Arabidopsis thaliana: one gene and its partners. The protein of the gene in region 2 interacts with the protein of the main gene of each other region in a pairwise test. Each region holds a gene or a part of one and is shown on either strand. Other genes may lie near its edges.

Region 1 (4,499 bases), 190 kb from region 2:
TTGATTGATCGGAGATGAAGACGAGGGCGAATATAAGTTCAACAACGACGGAGACGAAGCGAAAACCTCAGAGCGAATCCTAGGCAAGTAAACGATCGGTTTTGTTTCTTCTTCCATCGGTAAACCTCTCATCGGCGATGGTCGCCGCAAGTGATTACTCTGTCCGTCGCGGTGGCGATTAAGACTCGGCTCTGAGAAGCTTCTCTCGAAAACCTTATTACTCGATTTAGAGCGATTATTCTTGTCGGAAACATATCTGAAAGCTGTTCGTCTTGTTCTGGAGCTCCGACCTCCATTTCCTACAGGATTCGAAACTTTTCTCCGGTGAATCGAATCAGACATTTCGTGAATGATGATCTTTGCTTAAGGAGGAGGAAGAAGAAAAAACAATTGAGAGGTTTTGGTGGTTTGCTTGGCAAAGAAGCGAATTAAGAGTTATTCTCTGCTTTTGCTTTGCTTTACTCTTTTATTATCTTCTTTTCTTTCATTTGTATTTTTCAAATGTTTTTCCAAATCAAATTGTTTTTTTTTTTCTTTTTAACATAAGTGTGGATTTTAACATTTAAATTCAAACCGACCAAAAAAAATACACGATTAAAGGTAGTAATATAGACGTGGTTCTTGTAATATAGTATTTATATTTCCTGTCGACGATCGATTCTTTTATAGTATGATATCTTGTGCTGATTCTTACGTACTTGTGTTTATTATAGTAAAATAGAAATGCGTTGAATTGTAGCACTGTATTAGATTAAAACTTCTATGTAATTATGGAGCTAAAATGTTTTCTGGTTAGCATACGGAGTATTTTTTAAAAAATCTATCCTTATTATGGATAAAATGTGTTGGAAAAAGGCAATAATATACTTGTACAAATGAATATAAATTTCTTGATGCATTGTTTTAGAAGATTACTTGGGAGACTCACAATCCTATAAAGTGTAAAGGAAACAAAACTATTGGATTTGTAGAAAAGTTGACACGTTAAACAAGAAAACGAGAAACCCAAACAAGTTTCGTAAAACACAAAAAATCTAAGGTGATAGTGAGAAGCACATAAACAAATGAAAAAAAACACATAAACAATTAGAGAGGAGGGAGACTCAACTAGTATCATCAATTCATTAAATTTTACGAAAGTGCTGAGTAATGGAAGTAATATAAAAAATTTATAACCAAAAACAAGAATTCATCAACGTCAAGAAAAAACAACATAAAATAAAAAGGAGAATTTGTGTGGCTGAGATTGGTCCGAGGTTTGTTTCCACTGTTAAAAGAAAGAACTTTTGGGCTTGATTTAAAGTCATTAATGGTGTGGTCGACTTCTCTTATGCCATACGCACTCATGTTCACGCGTAACGCACTTGTTTTCCACCAAGTATTTAACAACGATCGTTTGTGACCCTTTTTTATGTATACTTGAAACTTAAAAAATATGTATTATTACATTTAAATATCATTTATTGTCATGACGAAAAAATTGTAAGACTTTATAATTTCAAATGTAACGTCACTTTTCGTGATGATGTAATACCATTCTATTACTTAAATACAATTGGCCAACAGCCTCAATTTATTTCAACCTTTTGCTATCTCTATAGTATAATGGTGTCATAAAAATTCATAGACACATTCCACAAAACTCGTGTATGTATATCCGTGTCTTTATATATATGTGTATATCCAAGTGTATAATAAAGTTTTTTTTCTTAAAAAAAAAAACAGAAATTTGTATGCACCATTTAAACAATTAAAGAAAGAAAATTGGGCCTACTCCAAACACAACGCTACTGTGGAGTACATTTTATCCATTTTAATGGCCCAATAATTTATAATGGGCTTTTAGTATGGGCCATTTTGTCCCTCTTTTTTATGTTGTAAGCGAGATCTTGAGACAATGTTAGTAATTTTGGTTTAATCCGGTTCAACAAGTAAACATCACACTTGTAAACTAAACCGATAATGCCACGTCACTACTCCAAATATTCGCCAAATCATAACAGACAAAATCCAACAACAACGACGACACTCTCCTCTCTCACTCTCTCTCTCAATCTCAATCTCAATCTCACGTCAACGACCGTCGCCGTCACCGGAAGGAAACGATTTCATCATCTTCTACAATGATCCCATACGCAACAATCGAAGAAGCGTCGATCGCATTATCTCGAAACCTCACATGGCTAGAGACTCTCTGGTTCGATTACTCCGCCACCAAATCCGATTACTACCTCTACTGCCACAACATTCTCTTCCTCTTCCTCATCTTCTCTCTCGTTCCTCTCCCTCTCGTTTTCATCGAATCATCTCAATCCACCTCAGATTTGTTCAATCGCTACAAAATCCAACCAAAAGTGAAAAACTCATTCTCATCGATGTTCAAATGTTACAAAGACGTCATGAAGATGTTCATCCTCGTCGTTGGTCCATTACAACTCGTTTCTTATCCTTCGATTCAGGTTAATTTCTGGAATTTGGCTTCTAATTTCGGAATTGATGCGATTTAGGTTGATTTTGTTTTTCGTGTGTTGAAACAGATGATTGAGATACGAAGTGGATTACCATTACCATCATGTATGGAGATTGTAGCACAGTTAGTGGTTTACTTCTTGGTAGAGGATTATACTAATTACTGGGTTCATAGATTCTTTCATTGTAAATGGGGTTATGAGAAGTTTCATCATATTCATCATGAGTATACAGCTCCTATTGGTTATGCTGCTCCTTATGCTCATTGGGCTGAGGTTTTGCTTCTTGGCATTCCCACGTTTCTTGGACCTGCTATTGCTCCTGGTCATATGATTACCTTTTGGTTGTGGATTGCTTTACGACAGATTGAGGCTATCGAAACTCATAGCGGGTAAGGAAAAGGAATGGTTTTGAATTGTTTATCTTAGTTTATAATGCGTTGGGGCTATGTGGGAAGTTTCAATAGTGCGTTTACCTTTTGTTGGTGGGGCTAAGGTTAGGCACTAGCCTTTTCTGATGCTTTATTGACTGTAATTAGCTCTAGGTGATTGTTTAGAGACTGCTTAGTTAATCTTTTGTGGTCAACATGAGCAAGAAATCATTCTTGAGATGATAAGCATCTTGTCTTGTTCAAATAAGTATTTGGACAATATGATGATTGCTTGGTGCATGAAACTTGTTTCTCTGGAGATAAATTGACTTGTTTTTTTTATTTTTCGTTTTCTTTTGAAGATATGATTTCCCATGGTCTCTGACAAAGTACATTCCATTTTATGGTGGAGCTGAGTATCATGATTACCATCACTACGTTGGAGGACAAAGCCAGAGTAACTTTGCTTCAGTTTTTACTTACTGCGATTACATCTATGGAACTGATAAAGTGAGTAATGAAACTTCAGTTCTTTTCCGGTTAGCGTCTACTAATTCTGGATAAAAATTTGACAATGTGGGTATATGTTCTTATTTTCATCAGGGTTACCGATTCCAGAAGAAGCTTCTTCAGCAGGTAAATAAATACTCCATAAACTGAGACTAGCTTATCTCTCGGCATACCGCATACCCATAAACGCAGCCATCAAATTGCAAGCTCACATAACAGTATATGTGGTATCTAGTATCATCATATTGATGATATGTTTCTTGATGCTATATCTTATGAGTTGCAGATGAAGGAGAAGTCCAAGAAGAGCAACAAGCTGGTTAATGGAGGAGAGAAATTCGATTAGTAAATCTAAAACCCCTCGCGAGGTTGACTTACCGTAAGTTTCAAGCATTCTACAAATGTAGTCAATACTTAAAAATGAAAGGGTAGTTAGTTTTCTCTGTTCTGGTCTTCCCTGTGTCACATGAAAATGCTCGTGACGAGTTCCTATCTGAAGTTTTTTTTAAAACTCTTTTGGAATTGGTGTGTGTCAATAAATCCTTTTTGTATATTTTAAATGTTACATAGTGCATTCATTGGCTTGTAACAAGTTCCTACTCTGATAGTATTAAGTTAAGTTAAGTATAACTTAAGTATCTAACGTTAACAACAAGGCCCGTCTAGCTCAGTTGGTAGAGCGCAAGGCTCTTAACCTTGTGGTCGTGGGTTCGAGCCCCACGGTGGGCGTTTCTTTTCCTTTTTGTTGCATTTGAGTGGCATGATTTAAAAGGAAAATCCTTACCATAACGATAGTTGCATTGATGATGGGGGTCGATTTCACTCTCGGAAAACAAATCTAATCAAAGAAGGCTAAAACAAGCGAAACACATGCATTTACTAAAGCTGTCTCACCAAACTTGAAAACAACAGTTTTAAGTACAGTAGTAGGTACAATAACTTATTTAGTTGTTACCAACTAATTTATGACTTTAAAATCGAAACACTCTCTTCCTTCCTGTGTTTTTTCAACTAAACCTAACAACACACAGTTTTTCTTTAACACACATTTCCTTGTTCTCGTTGTCTTAGAATTACCATGGACACAGTGAATATGATAATAACTTCAAGAATGGGGTTGTAGCTGTGTGAGGCTATATTTTTTTTTTTG
Region 2 (5,346 bases):
GACTGAGAAACATGCGACCAACGGTTCAATGAAAACTTGCGATCGAAATTTAATGGACGTGAATATATGCATGTACAATGCAAACACAATTGCTTGCTGTCCTAAACCAGAACAATATATGATCTTGAAAATATATTTAAAATCTTTTGTTTTCTCCTTGTAGGCTTTCCTGTTGTGTTTGTACCAAGCGGGAAAACTGGCGTTTTTACACCCAATGATAAGTATGATACAAACCGTCGCCTTCTCCTCTCTTCTCTAGCTTCTCATGTTGTAGCTCGAGGTGACTTCTACAGTAATTCACTTGGCCAAGTCTATGATCGGGTGTATGCTTTGGGGATGTTCATCTCAGTTGTTGAACCAAAGGTTTGCTCAAACTGTATCGACCTTGCTTCTAAAGAGGTGTTAGAGGAATGTACCAACCAGACAGAAGGCATTGCCTGGCCCGAAAATGGGATTCTTTGTATGGTACGTTACTCCAACCGTTCGTTTTCTGGATCACTTGAGATGGAACCAAAGTATATATGCATGTACAATACTGGAGATATCGGATCCGAAAACTTTGATAACCTGTGGGACGACTTGACAAGTCGTATGATAGCTGGAGTTATATGATCGTTTTGTGCGTGTTTGTAACATATTTATACTATCTATAAAAAGGTTTTCTTAAAAATGGGGATGGTTTGATGATATAAGGTTTTGTCCGAACCGCATAACTTCCTTTTCCGGTAAAAGGTTGGCAAGCCGGATATCGAGATTGGAAGGGACAGTGCTGAGCATGGACAGGTAGGGGGGGTGAGTTTTGTGCTTTAACCTCGATCCGCTTGTGCGAAGTACTCGTCACATGTACGATTCTAGCCGGGCTATTTCTAGCACGGTTCATGATCGCTACATACAAAGCCTTTTTATTTTATTTTAATTATGTAATCTCAAGAGCCGTTTATGTTTCTGTACAATATTGTGTGATCACTACCAAATGATCTGAGTGTATGCCATGGTGATGCTTCTATAAACCCTATAATCTCTTCAATCTTGTGTGACTAGGATATGCTTGGTAGTTCTATAAAATGGTGTACAATTCAGTTTTTTTTTGGGTTTGGTTTGACATGGGAGTATGTGATAGGTTCATCACTCTGGTAACGTGCTACACAAGTAACTGAATCTTTTTTGCAAAACCAATGAAAGAAGGATATACTACAAAACCGGTTAATTTGCAAAACCAATGACACAATACATAGCCCTCTGCAACGATCATCTGATCTTCTGCATCTGCCTTTGCTTCGTCAGGTTTGGTGATAGGAGACTTAGAAGTTTTTGGGTTCAACGGTTAACACATATGGTTAGGAATGATGATGAAATTCAACGTTTTCCACTAGCCCAAAACCATTGACTTTTGTCGCGGGTCCGTTTCACGCCGTATATGTCGAACATGGAGGGTTGAAGGACCACTGTTATCAGTTTGACGAATTCAGTATTTAGATATTTTCAGAGAAACTCGATTTCTTTTTTAGTAAGCTATAAAAAACGCGTAAACAAAAGACAAAGAATTAGCGATTAAAAAAAAACTAGGGATAATCTTTTAAAGAATTAACGCTTAATTATATCTAAATCATTAACTGAATAGTTCATTATTCACGTCTTATTAGCGAATGGAGATAGTGCGCTAGGTTATAATAGGAGCTAAGGTAACTTAGAGCTCACGAAAGAGTAAGGACTCATCAGGAACTGGTGGCTGACTGGTGCTTTTTAAGGGGTTTGTTACGTGGCAATTGCGACGTCTTTTGAATGCGTTTTGGTTTTAAAGGTAAGAAATTGGTTAGGAAAAAGCTACGTAATTTGGCCGTGGATGAGTGTTAAATGTTAATGGTACCTCGACCCCAGCCTCCTGACCTAGTACATATCTACATTATTATTTGAAAGGATTTAAACATAATAATACTGTATGAACAGAAAAAAATGAAATAAGACTTTTGATTTTCATCTTTTGTTTTGTGACATTTAGAAAGTTTCTGAGAAACAACAATTGCTGTTTAAATTGCTAAGGAACGAACAGATGTTTAAACACTAAAACAAAGCTATAATCTCTAAGGCAAAAAATGAAGCAGAGGAGTTTATTATCAATCCTCTGTTTTATCCTTCTAGCCTCTGGTGTTGCTTCTGTTTCAGCACAAACATGCATAGAGAACCGTAAATATTTCACACCCAACGGTACATACGATTCAAATCGTCGTCTTATCCTCTCTTCTCTTCCTAACAATACCGCGTCTCGAGATGGTTTCTACTACGGTTCCATTGGAGAAGAGCAAGATCGAGTCTACGCATTAGGGATGTGCATCCCGAAATCAACTCCAAGTGATTGTTCTAACTGTATCAAGGGCGCGGCAGGCTGGTTGATACAGGATTGTGTCAACCAGACAGACGCGTACTATTGGGCACTTGATCCAACGCTGTGCCTTGTCCGCTACTCCAACATTTCTTTCTCAGGATCTGCAGCTTTTTGGGAGATTGAGCCGCAGTATTTGGTGTTGAACACTGCAACTATCGCCTCAAATCTAACAGAGTTCAAGACAATATGGGAAGACTTAACATCTCGTACGATTACTGCAGCCTCCGCAGCAAGAAGCACACCATCGTCCAGTGATAACCATTACAGAGTTGATTTTGCGAACTTGACAAAATTCCAGAATATCTACGCATTGATGCAATGCACGCCAGATATTTCTTCTGACGAATGTAACAACTGTCTCCAACGAGGCGTACTTGAGTACCAGTCATGCTGTGGAAATAATACTGGAGGCTATGTTATGCGGCCAATCTGCTTTTTCCGGTGGCAGCTTTTTACATTCTCTAAGGCTTTTCATAACATTACCTTGGCTACTACTCCTCCTCTTTCTCCTCCTCCACTGCAACGTCCTGTGGTTGCGTCACAACCACCTTCTGCAGACAACCGGGACAAGAAGAGAGACAATAGTAAGTCCTTGCAAACTTATGACTTAAAGTTACAGTCACAAGACTCTGTCCAAAGACTTATAAGGTTTTTTTTTTCATTCTACAGGTAGCGGAAAAATCTCAATGAAAACTATTCTAGCAATTGTTGTGGTTGGTATAGTCATCCTCATCATCATCTCGGGAATTCTTGCTCGCCGGTTTGCTCGGAAGGAAAAACCATATCAAGAAGTTGAACTTAATCAAAGTGAGTGTTGTTCATTTGTTTTATTTGGCCTCTAAGCTTTTACCAAATATATTGTCTATGGAACTAATTAGATCATTTATTAACATTGTAGCTGGTATTACATCTGTACGCTCCCTGCAATACAAATTTAAGACGATCGAAACTGCAACAAATAATTTTTCAGAGAGACTTGGTCATGGTGGATCTGGACATGTTTTCAAGGTATCATTTCTTTAGCTACTTGTTTCATTACTTCTCTTGAAAAAACTTAAAACTACAGAGTCAAAGTAAGCTAACCATACTGTCTCATCTTTAGGGAAGGTTGCCTGACGGAAAGGAAATTGCAGTGAAGAGATTGTCAGAAAAAACAGAACAAAGTAAGAAAGAGTTCAAGAACGAGGTTGTTCTTGTCGCGAAACTTCAGCATAGAAATCTTGTTAGACTTCTCGGTTTTTCTGTCAAAGGAGAAGAAAAGATCATAGTCTACGAGTATTTGCCCAACAGAAGTCTCGACTACATCCTCTTTGGTAAGAAAAGATACAAATAATAGGGTTATATTCTCTGAAACACTACTTCTTGATCTCATATCCTAATTTGTGCAGACCCTACAAAGCAAGGAGAGTTAGACTGGAAAAAGCGGTACAAGATCATTGGAGGAACTGCTAGAGGGATTCTATATCTTCATCAAGATTCACAACCCACAATCATACATCGTGACCTCAAAGCGGGTAATATCCTCTTGGACGCTCATATGAACCCGAAAGTTGCAGATTTTGGGACGGCAAGGATCTTTGGGATGGACCAAAGTGTAGCTATTACAGCGAATGCAGCCGGAACTCCGTAAAATTCTCTTATATATTACTCATGATGGTTATGAACTTTAATTGCAAGAATATTTTCTTGACCAAAGTAGAATTAATCTTGTAGCGGTTACATGGCCCCAGAATATATGGAACTAGGCGAATTCTCGATGAAATCTGACGTGTATAGCTATGGGGTCTTAGTTCTTGAGATTATATGCGGCAAGAGGAACACGAGCTTCTCATCTCCGGTTCAGAATTTTGTCACATATGTGAGTACTATAATCGTATCTCACTGTTGTTGTAACTGTAAGATTTGGATTAGATCATTGAATTTTGTTTCAGGTCTGGAGGTTATGGAAAAGCGGGACACCATTAAACCTCGTTGACGCAACAATTGCAGAGAATTATAAGAGTGAAGAAGTGATAAGATGTATCCACATTGCGCTCCTATGTGTTCAAGAAGAACCTACAGATCGTCCTGACTTTTCGATAATCATGTCGATGCTCACTAGCAATTCCCTCATCTTACCTGTTCCTAAACCACCTCCATCCTTCATTCCAGGTAGACCAAACCAATCTACGACGAGGCCCAGTTCCCAAAATATCAATGATGGAAGGTGGTCCTTGTTGAAAATGATGTTCCATTGAGACATTGGAACTTGTTTGAAGTAAACTATGTTTTTGGTATTTCAGTTTAAACTGTTATGAATTATTCATAAAGTTATGTATGTGTAAATTGTGAGATACTCATCAAAGTAGTTATGTACACTTAGAATTTTCTATTCCCTACATTTTTATACGAGCTCTTTGTTATAAAATCCGTTTAGATGGTTTCTCAAACATTGCCTTCAATCACTTTGATGCTTATACCAGCTCTCTTCCACTACACTGTGGTCTGTGGACTGATATTAAAAGTTTACTTGGTATGGAAGTAAGCTATTTAGTTGACGGTTCCTTCTCTGTTTTGAATCAACCTCTGCCCATCCTCTGTTTTTTCTCGACTCTGTTTTAGGATGAGGCTTGGGACTAATAATATACACTTGTAGATATTTATCCCACATAATTCTCTAGAGGACTTGAAGACGCTATATACAAGATTCTAGATACTGGATTCTAGATACTGGATCGATTTAATTAGTAATTGGTCAAATAATGATACCTGACCCATAATAAAAAAAAAACTTGTCAAAAATCAACTTCATATTTCAGTACACTTGGAGCTCGTATGCATATTAACTCGGCTTCATTGAATTAATTCTCATTTCATACTCCATTGTTTTCAGTTTTGTTTTTCATTATGTTTACATTCATCAAACAAGGACAGGTCATCCAATAAGAGAGACTTGGTCACAAAAATTCCAAAACGAGATATTA
Region 3 (5,020 bases), on a different chromosome or scaffold from region 2:
TTCCCATTTCGAATATAAACGCAATAGAATTCGACCTAACATGGGTTGATCAAAAAGTAGAAATGCGACTATAATAAATAATTTAGAGCAAACATATTTTTATTAGTTGTTGGAAATTAAATGTAAATGGACGCTCTAAAGTAAGAAAAAGGTGAAGTGTACTTATTCAAGAATGAAAGACAAAAGCATGTGAGTAGAGGAACTCTTAAGTAAATCACTTCAAGGCTAAAAAAACCCTTAAACTCCCAAAGATGACCACCACTCTCACTCACACTTCAATTTATGTTCTCTCTTCTCATTTAATATCAAAGAGACCAAAGCATGTGTATCTTCATTTTTGTCGTCCTTTCTTGACATTTCCTCAACTACTAACTAACTATTCTTTTACTCCTTTAGCAAATCCCCCATTCATCACAAACTCTTCCAAACTATTGCTTTCATTGATAAAAATACATGGAATTGCTAAAATGGCAAAATCCCTCATTGATGCTAAGGTTTTACCAATAATGGAATCTCACGGAATCACGATTTATATTCCCCTTTTTTGTAAATTATATTCTTCATTTCATTTTTGTGCAATGCTTACCATTCATAATAATACAACCAAACAACCAACCTTCTGTAGGAGGAATTGAAAATCGTTTTGGTTTTTCTTATTGGCACATGTATGAAGTGATCAACATACACCCTCAAAACTAACTAACAATCTAAAACCATTCACTCCCGCTAACATAATATAAACAAAAGACTATATAACAACTTTGAAGCTTTCCTCTTTACCTTTGGGAACTCTCTATTGCCATGTAACTTCCCTGGAAGTCTCACCGCCGCTATCATCAGTCATATCTGATCTTGTATAGCTGATTCCTGCTCCTTGAAGGTAATGGTTACTATCCTGTTCTATGGCATTGTAATGACTGTTGTTACCATTGTCTGGAACAAGGTTTTGTGATGCAAGGTTAACGTTTTGATTCGAAGAAGATACGCCAACCATTTGCTGACGTTCGGCAAGAACAGCAATTGCACAAGCTAGCCCACCTGATGGAGATGATGATGACGGAGTTGATGGTTCCTCATTACGATCTTTTTCTGAAATATCATCAGGTGATGTGTTTCTCTGAATTCCTGGTTCCTGTTAAAGAAAGAAAATAGTTAGGCTTATCTTATTCAGATAAATGCTATATACTTCAAAGTTTACTAACCAAACAAATTACCTGCATCGAAAGCCATATTGCTTCCATGACCATTATATCTTCAAGATCAAAGTCAAACTGACCGTCCCTGAAGAGTTTTCCAGATAACCACATATCAGTCACCTGATATGAACCACTCAGATTCAAAGTTCCAACACGTATTACCGTTGTGCATATAACTTTAGCCAGAAAGGAATGATCTGAAAATGTAATACCATAACTGACTAATAAGAGACAATTTAAGAAGGGGTTCATTTTTAAGTTTTAACTGTAACGGTTCTCGAAGCATCAAAGTTTCTCAAGAGATAGGACTAATACAAATGAAATTTAACAGCTAAATAGAGAAAAAGGCTGTTCATACAACCCCATGGCATGGATACTCATAAAAGTCATTTAGGTCCATTTCTAGGAAAATGACAAACCTTGTAACCTGAGGGTGGTGAGATGGAAGACATGATTCTTGAGATGAAACAATTTCCTCATCATCCTCTGCGTAAAAGCTACTGATTGAGATTGCGAACCAAGAATAACAAAAGTGGTAAAATTTAACACATGTTGAAAGTTGAAACCGAGAGAAGAACTAACCTGCAGCAGAACCATACTCTGTATCAAGAGTCGCTGCACTAGTGCTAGAACTAGAAGAATATGACTCCAGACGTTTCTGCATTCTTTCTTCATCATCTTCAACTTCCTTCTGCCTCATCCTTATTTTGGCTTCTATAACTCGCTGCTCTTCCTTCATAACACAGAGATAACAATATTGGCAGAATCAGCCAGTAATTCCATCACATACTCTTAAAAACAATACTGTTTCAAGATTTAAGTCTGGCTTACAATTTGTTCAAAGCTCTTCTCCTCTTTAGTTTTCCCTCCACGATACTCGACAGCATAATTGGATGTTTTGCAAAAAGGGCATCTTACATATGATAAGGAGGACTCAAAAGTAGACATTTTCATATGTAAAGAAGACCAAAAGCTTAATGCAAACTATAAGAAAAAGGATACTGAGTAGGTTGAGCTGAATTAGGACTCTTCATCCGCAGAAAGCATTCTGTATAAAACCAAACACAAAGTCAATGACTACACCGGATAAGAAACATTCTATAGTTCAGAGATGACTAACAAATACATTTCTTCACCTGTACAAATGCTTTTCATACAACATCTTGACCTATTAAGACTCGGATAATACTAGAAACACAGAAGAACAAAAAATTGCATGAGAGTTGGTCAATTTCATCTTCTTGAATGAGGAAGTAAGCAAAAAAGGAAAGACTTAAAACAAACCAGAAAGCAAATAGGACATTCTTCAAGATCATGATGGGAGGAGGGGGTTTCTTCAAGACCAGGATAACAAGGAGCAAGCTTAGACTCTAAGATGAGTTTCTTAAGCTTTTTAATGTCAACATCTTTGCTCATGTATAAACCTTGTTGTGGCTTTGTGTATCTTTCGTCCACAATCTGTCTCTTCCTTCCCAGCTTATTACCCATTTCGTCTCTTTAAATGCCTTGAAATTAAGATAGTAGAGAGACATAATAAGAACACTCAAATAGAAATCAATTTCACTTTCTACAATTCACAAAACGCAATAAAGAGCTTGTAGCAATCCAAAGCCATTTCCTTTTTTCCGAAACTAACAAACAAAGTTTAAAACCCTAAATTCCAACCGTTGATAAGAATTGAAGCAACAAATCTTTTCAAACAGAAGAAAATTTGCAAACCCTTTGAATATAAATGAGTAATAAAGTTTGAGTCAGAGAAGAAACCTTAAAAGCTTCGAGAATCGAAGAGACTTAGATAACGAATGATAAGAGAATACAAAGATCAGAACTTTTCCTTTGCGAAAGAGATATACAGTAATGTTGTCGTCGTGAAGAAGAAAGATCCGATGAAGAACGAAGAACGAAACGGTGGAGTTAGTCGGATACGAAAGAAATGAATCGTCGTCATCTCTTTTGTTTTCACTCTTCCTCTTCTTTATCGTCACGCGCCCCTCTCGCGCGTTAACTTTCTCCACGCTTCTTCTTTTTTTTTTTGTTCCTTCTGATATTTTGTCGTAAAATCTGATAGACTATTATTGTTGCAAATATTTATTTCAAAAAATAATATAAGGGTCGAAAAAAAACTTTCAAAAAAAATAAACAAACTATGCTACTAATGATTTTATTGATTGTCTTTTTTAAAAAAGTGAAAGATAATCTACATATACATTTTTGCAGCCACTTTGTGAAATAAATTTTCAAGTTGAGACTTATTTACAGTGGCTACCACTGGCATTTAATAATTGTTTTTGATAATTAGAAAGTAAATCTTCGAATTAAATGTTTGCATTTAACTACCTTTCTAAAATCTCTCTGCATTAACTATACCATTAATTACTAAAATAAAATTTCCAAAATATTTAATATCATTTAAATACTACAAAATTATCATTTTTGATATTGCTTTTTTTATGACTATAACAATTCGATTATAAGCAGCAAACCGTAAAGATATTTGATAGCAATTAATTACTACAAAATTACAAAATATTTAGACAATGATTCATAAACATATCATAAATAAGATCAACATTAATAAAATAAATAGTTTTTTTTACGAGACGGGTTGGCGGGACGGGTTTGGCAGGAAGCTACTTAATAACAATTGTAAACTATAAAATAAAAATATTTTATAGATAGATAAAATTTGTAAACTTTTATATATACTAACTTTAAGGAAATAAATTGTCTCCGCGGTATACCGCAGGTTAAAATCTAGTATAATACATTAATGCATTAAGCAAAAAAAAAGAAGTTCACCTTCTAAGGAACATTCGTGTTTCACATAGGCTTGAGATAATAATATTAAACCCAATGGGCCTTAATATTGTGGGAAAAAAAAGAACGAATTATTAGTCTAGTCAATGGTCTGACCAAAGATTATACAATTCGCCGACCGGAGGCATCTCTCTGAAAAAACTATCGAACTCCGTCGTCTCTACACCTCTTTCTGCTTCTTTTCCTACGCCACAAAACCGCTGTGATGAATCTTTGCCACCGTACCCTTGACCGGAGAATTCATAAGGACCGTCGGCGACGACTGCGTTTTTACCTGTGAGTTCTTGAACAATTGTCTTGAAGCTCCGAGCATCTGTCTGAACGTACTGTGTGTTAATGAAGACAACCTTCATCGGTTCAGATCTCACTCCTGCAGACATATTTTTGGCGTTATATGAGATTTTTTCTTTTGGTTTGCTCTATTGAGTAGTATGCCTTTTGAATCTCCCCGATATTGGTTGTATTTATATGTGTAGATAAATATATGGGAATATATATAATATTTGTGGGGAGACCGAACTTTTATCATTTTATTGATTTTTAGTTATTGTTTAGAAACATTTATTATCATGGGGACTCCTAATTAGTATTATGAACTATATGGATAAGAGAGCAGATTCTTTTATTGATATAGCATTTATATTCTATATCCATAGTTGTGGATTGGAAAAGAATATTATTATATAGATCGAATGATATTTTGATTCTAGAAATTGCTTACGTGTGGAGTTACGATCATATGCTTTCATGACTAATGACTAATTATATACTGATTAGATATCAGGGAGTGGCTCAAATTTTCCACTATTTAAAGAAATTAGAATCAACTAATCAAACGTTTTTTACCAAAAAAAAAACTAATCAAACGTTGCATATAATAAAATCTATTTTAGAGTTTTTGTAACGACGGGGTCAACTGAAACTGGAGATTGTCACTTATTTCAAGAATTTCTATACACATGTGGGGTTTATTTTTTGCAACGTTTCACCAATATTTTTCATTAATT

What was found.
Region 1: the proteins of CRK13 (region 2) and SMO1-2 interact in a protein complementation assay, tested with the Arabidopsis thaliana proteins (one large-scale study listed by BioGRID).
Region 3: the proteins of CRK13 (region 2) and AT1G17145 interact in a protein complementation assay, tested with the Arabidopsis thaliana proteins (one large-scale study listed by BioGRID).

Annotation. Positions count from the first base shown.
Region 1 is NC_003075.7:11,954,320-11,958,818, reverse strand, and holds SMO1-2 (sterol C4-methyl oxidase 1-2), read left to right. Parts: upstream 1-1,900; 5' UTR 1,901-2,123; coding exon 2,124-2,459; intron 2,460-2,537; coding exon 2,538-2,860; intron 2,861-3,201; coding exon 3,202-3,349; intron 3,350-3,442; coding exon 3,443-3,475; intron 3,476-3,635; coding exon 3,636-3,695; 3' UTR 3,696-3,979; downstream 3,980-4,499. Other genes in the region: AT4G22758 (PPR containing protein), read right to left, coding at 1-342. UniProt on the Arabidopsis thaliana protein: Non-heme iron oxygenase involved in sterols biosynthesis by catalyzing the removal of the first methyl group at the C-4 position. 4,4-dimethyl-9-beta,19-cyclopropylsterols such as 24-methylenecycloartanol are the preferred substrates.
Region 2 is NC_003075.7:12,148,166-12,153,511, reverse strand, and holds CRK13 (cysteine-rich RLK (RECEPTOR-like protein kinase) 13), read left to right. Parts: upstream 1-1,873; 5' UTR 1,874-2,093; coding exon 2,094-2,967; intron 2,968-3,052; coding exon 3,053-3,190; intron 3,191-3,281; coding exon 3,282-3,391; intron 3,392-3,485; coding exon 3,486-3,696; intron 3,697-3,771; coding exon 3,772-4,009; coding exon of another isoform or gene 4,010-4,013; exon of another isoform or gene 4,014-4,096; coding exon 4,097-4,241; coding exon of another isoform or gene 4,242-4,314; coding exon 4,315-4,620; 3' UTR 4,621-4,839; downstream 4,840-5,346.
Region 3 is NC_003070.9:5,859,558-5,864,577, forward strand, and holds AT1G17145 (RING/U-box superfamily protein), read right to left. Parts: upstream 3,334-5,020; 5' UTR 2,961-3,333; intron 2,702-2,960; 5' UTR 2,685-2,701; coding exon 2,481-2,684; intron 2,385-2,480; coding exon 2,333-2,384; intron 2,245-2,332; coding exon 2,199-2,244; intron 2,110-2,198; coding exon 2,028-2,109; intron 1,930-2,027; coding exon 1,779-1,929; intron 1,683-1,778; coding exon 1,616-1,682; intron 1,282-1,615; coding exon 1,215-1,281; intron 1,133-1,214; coding exon 794-1,132; 3' UTR 521-793; downstream 1-520. Other genes in the region: AT1G17147 (VQ motif-containing protein), read right to left, coding at 4,097-4,393.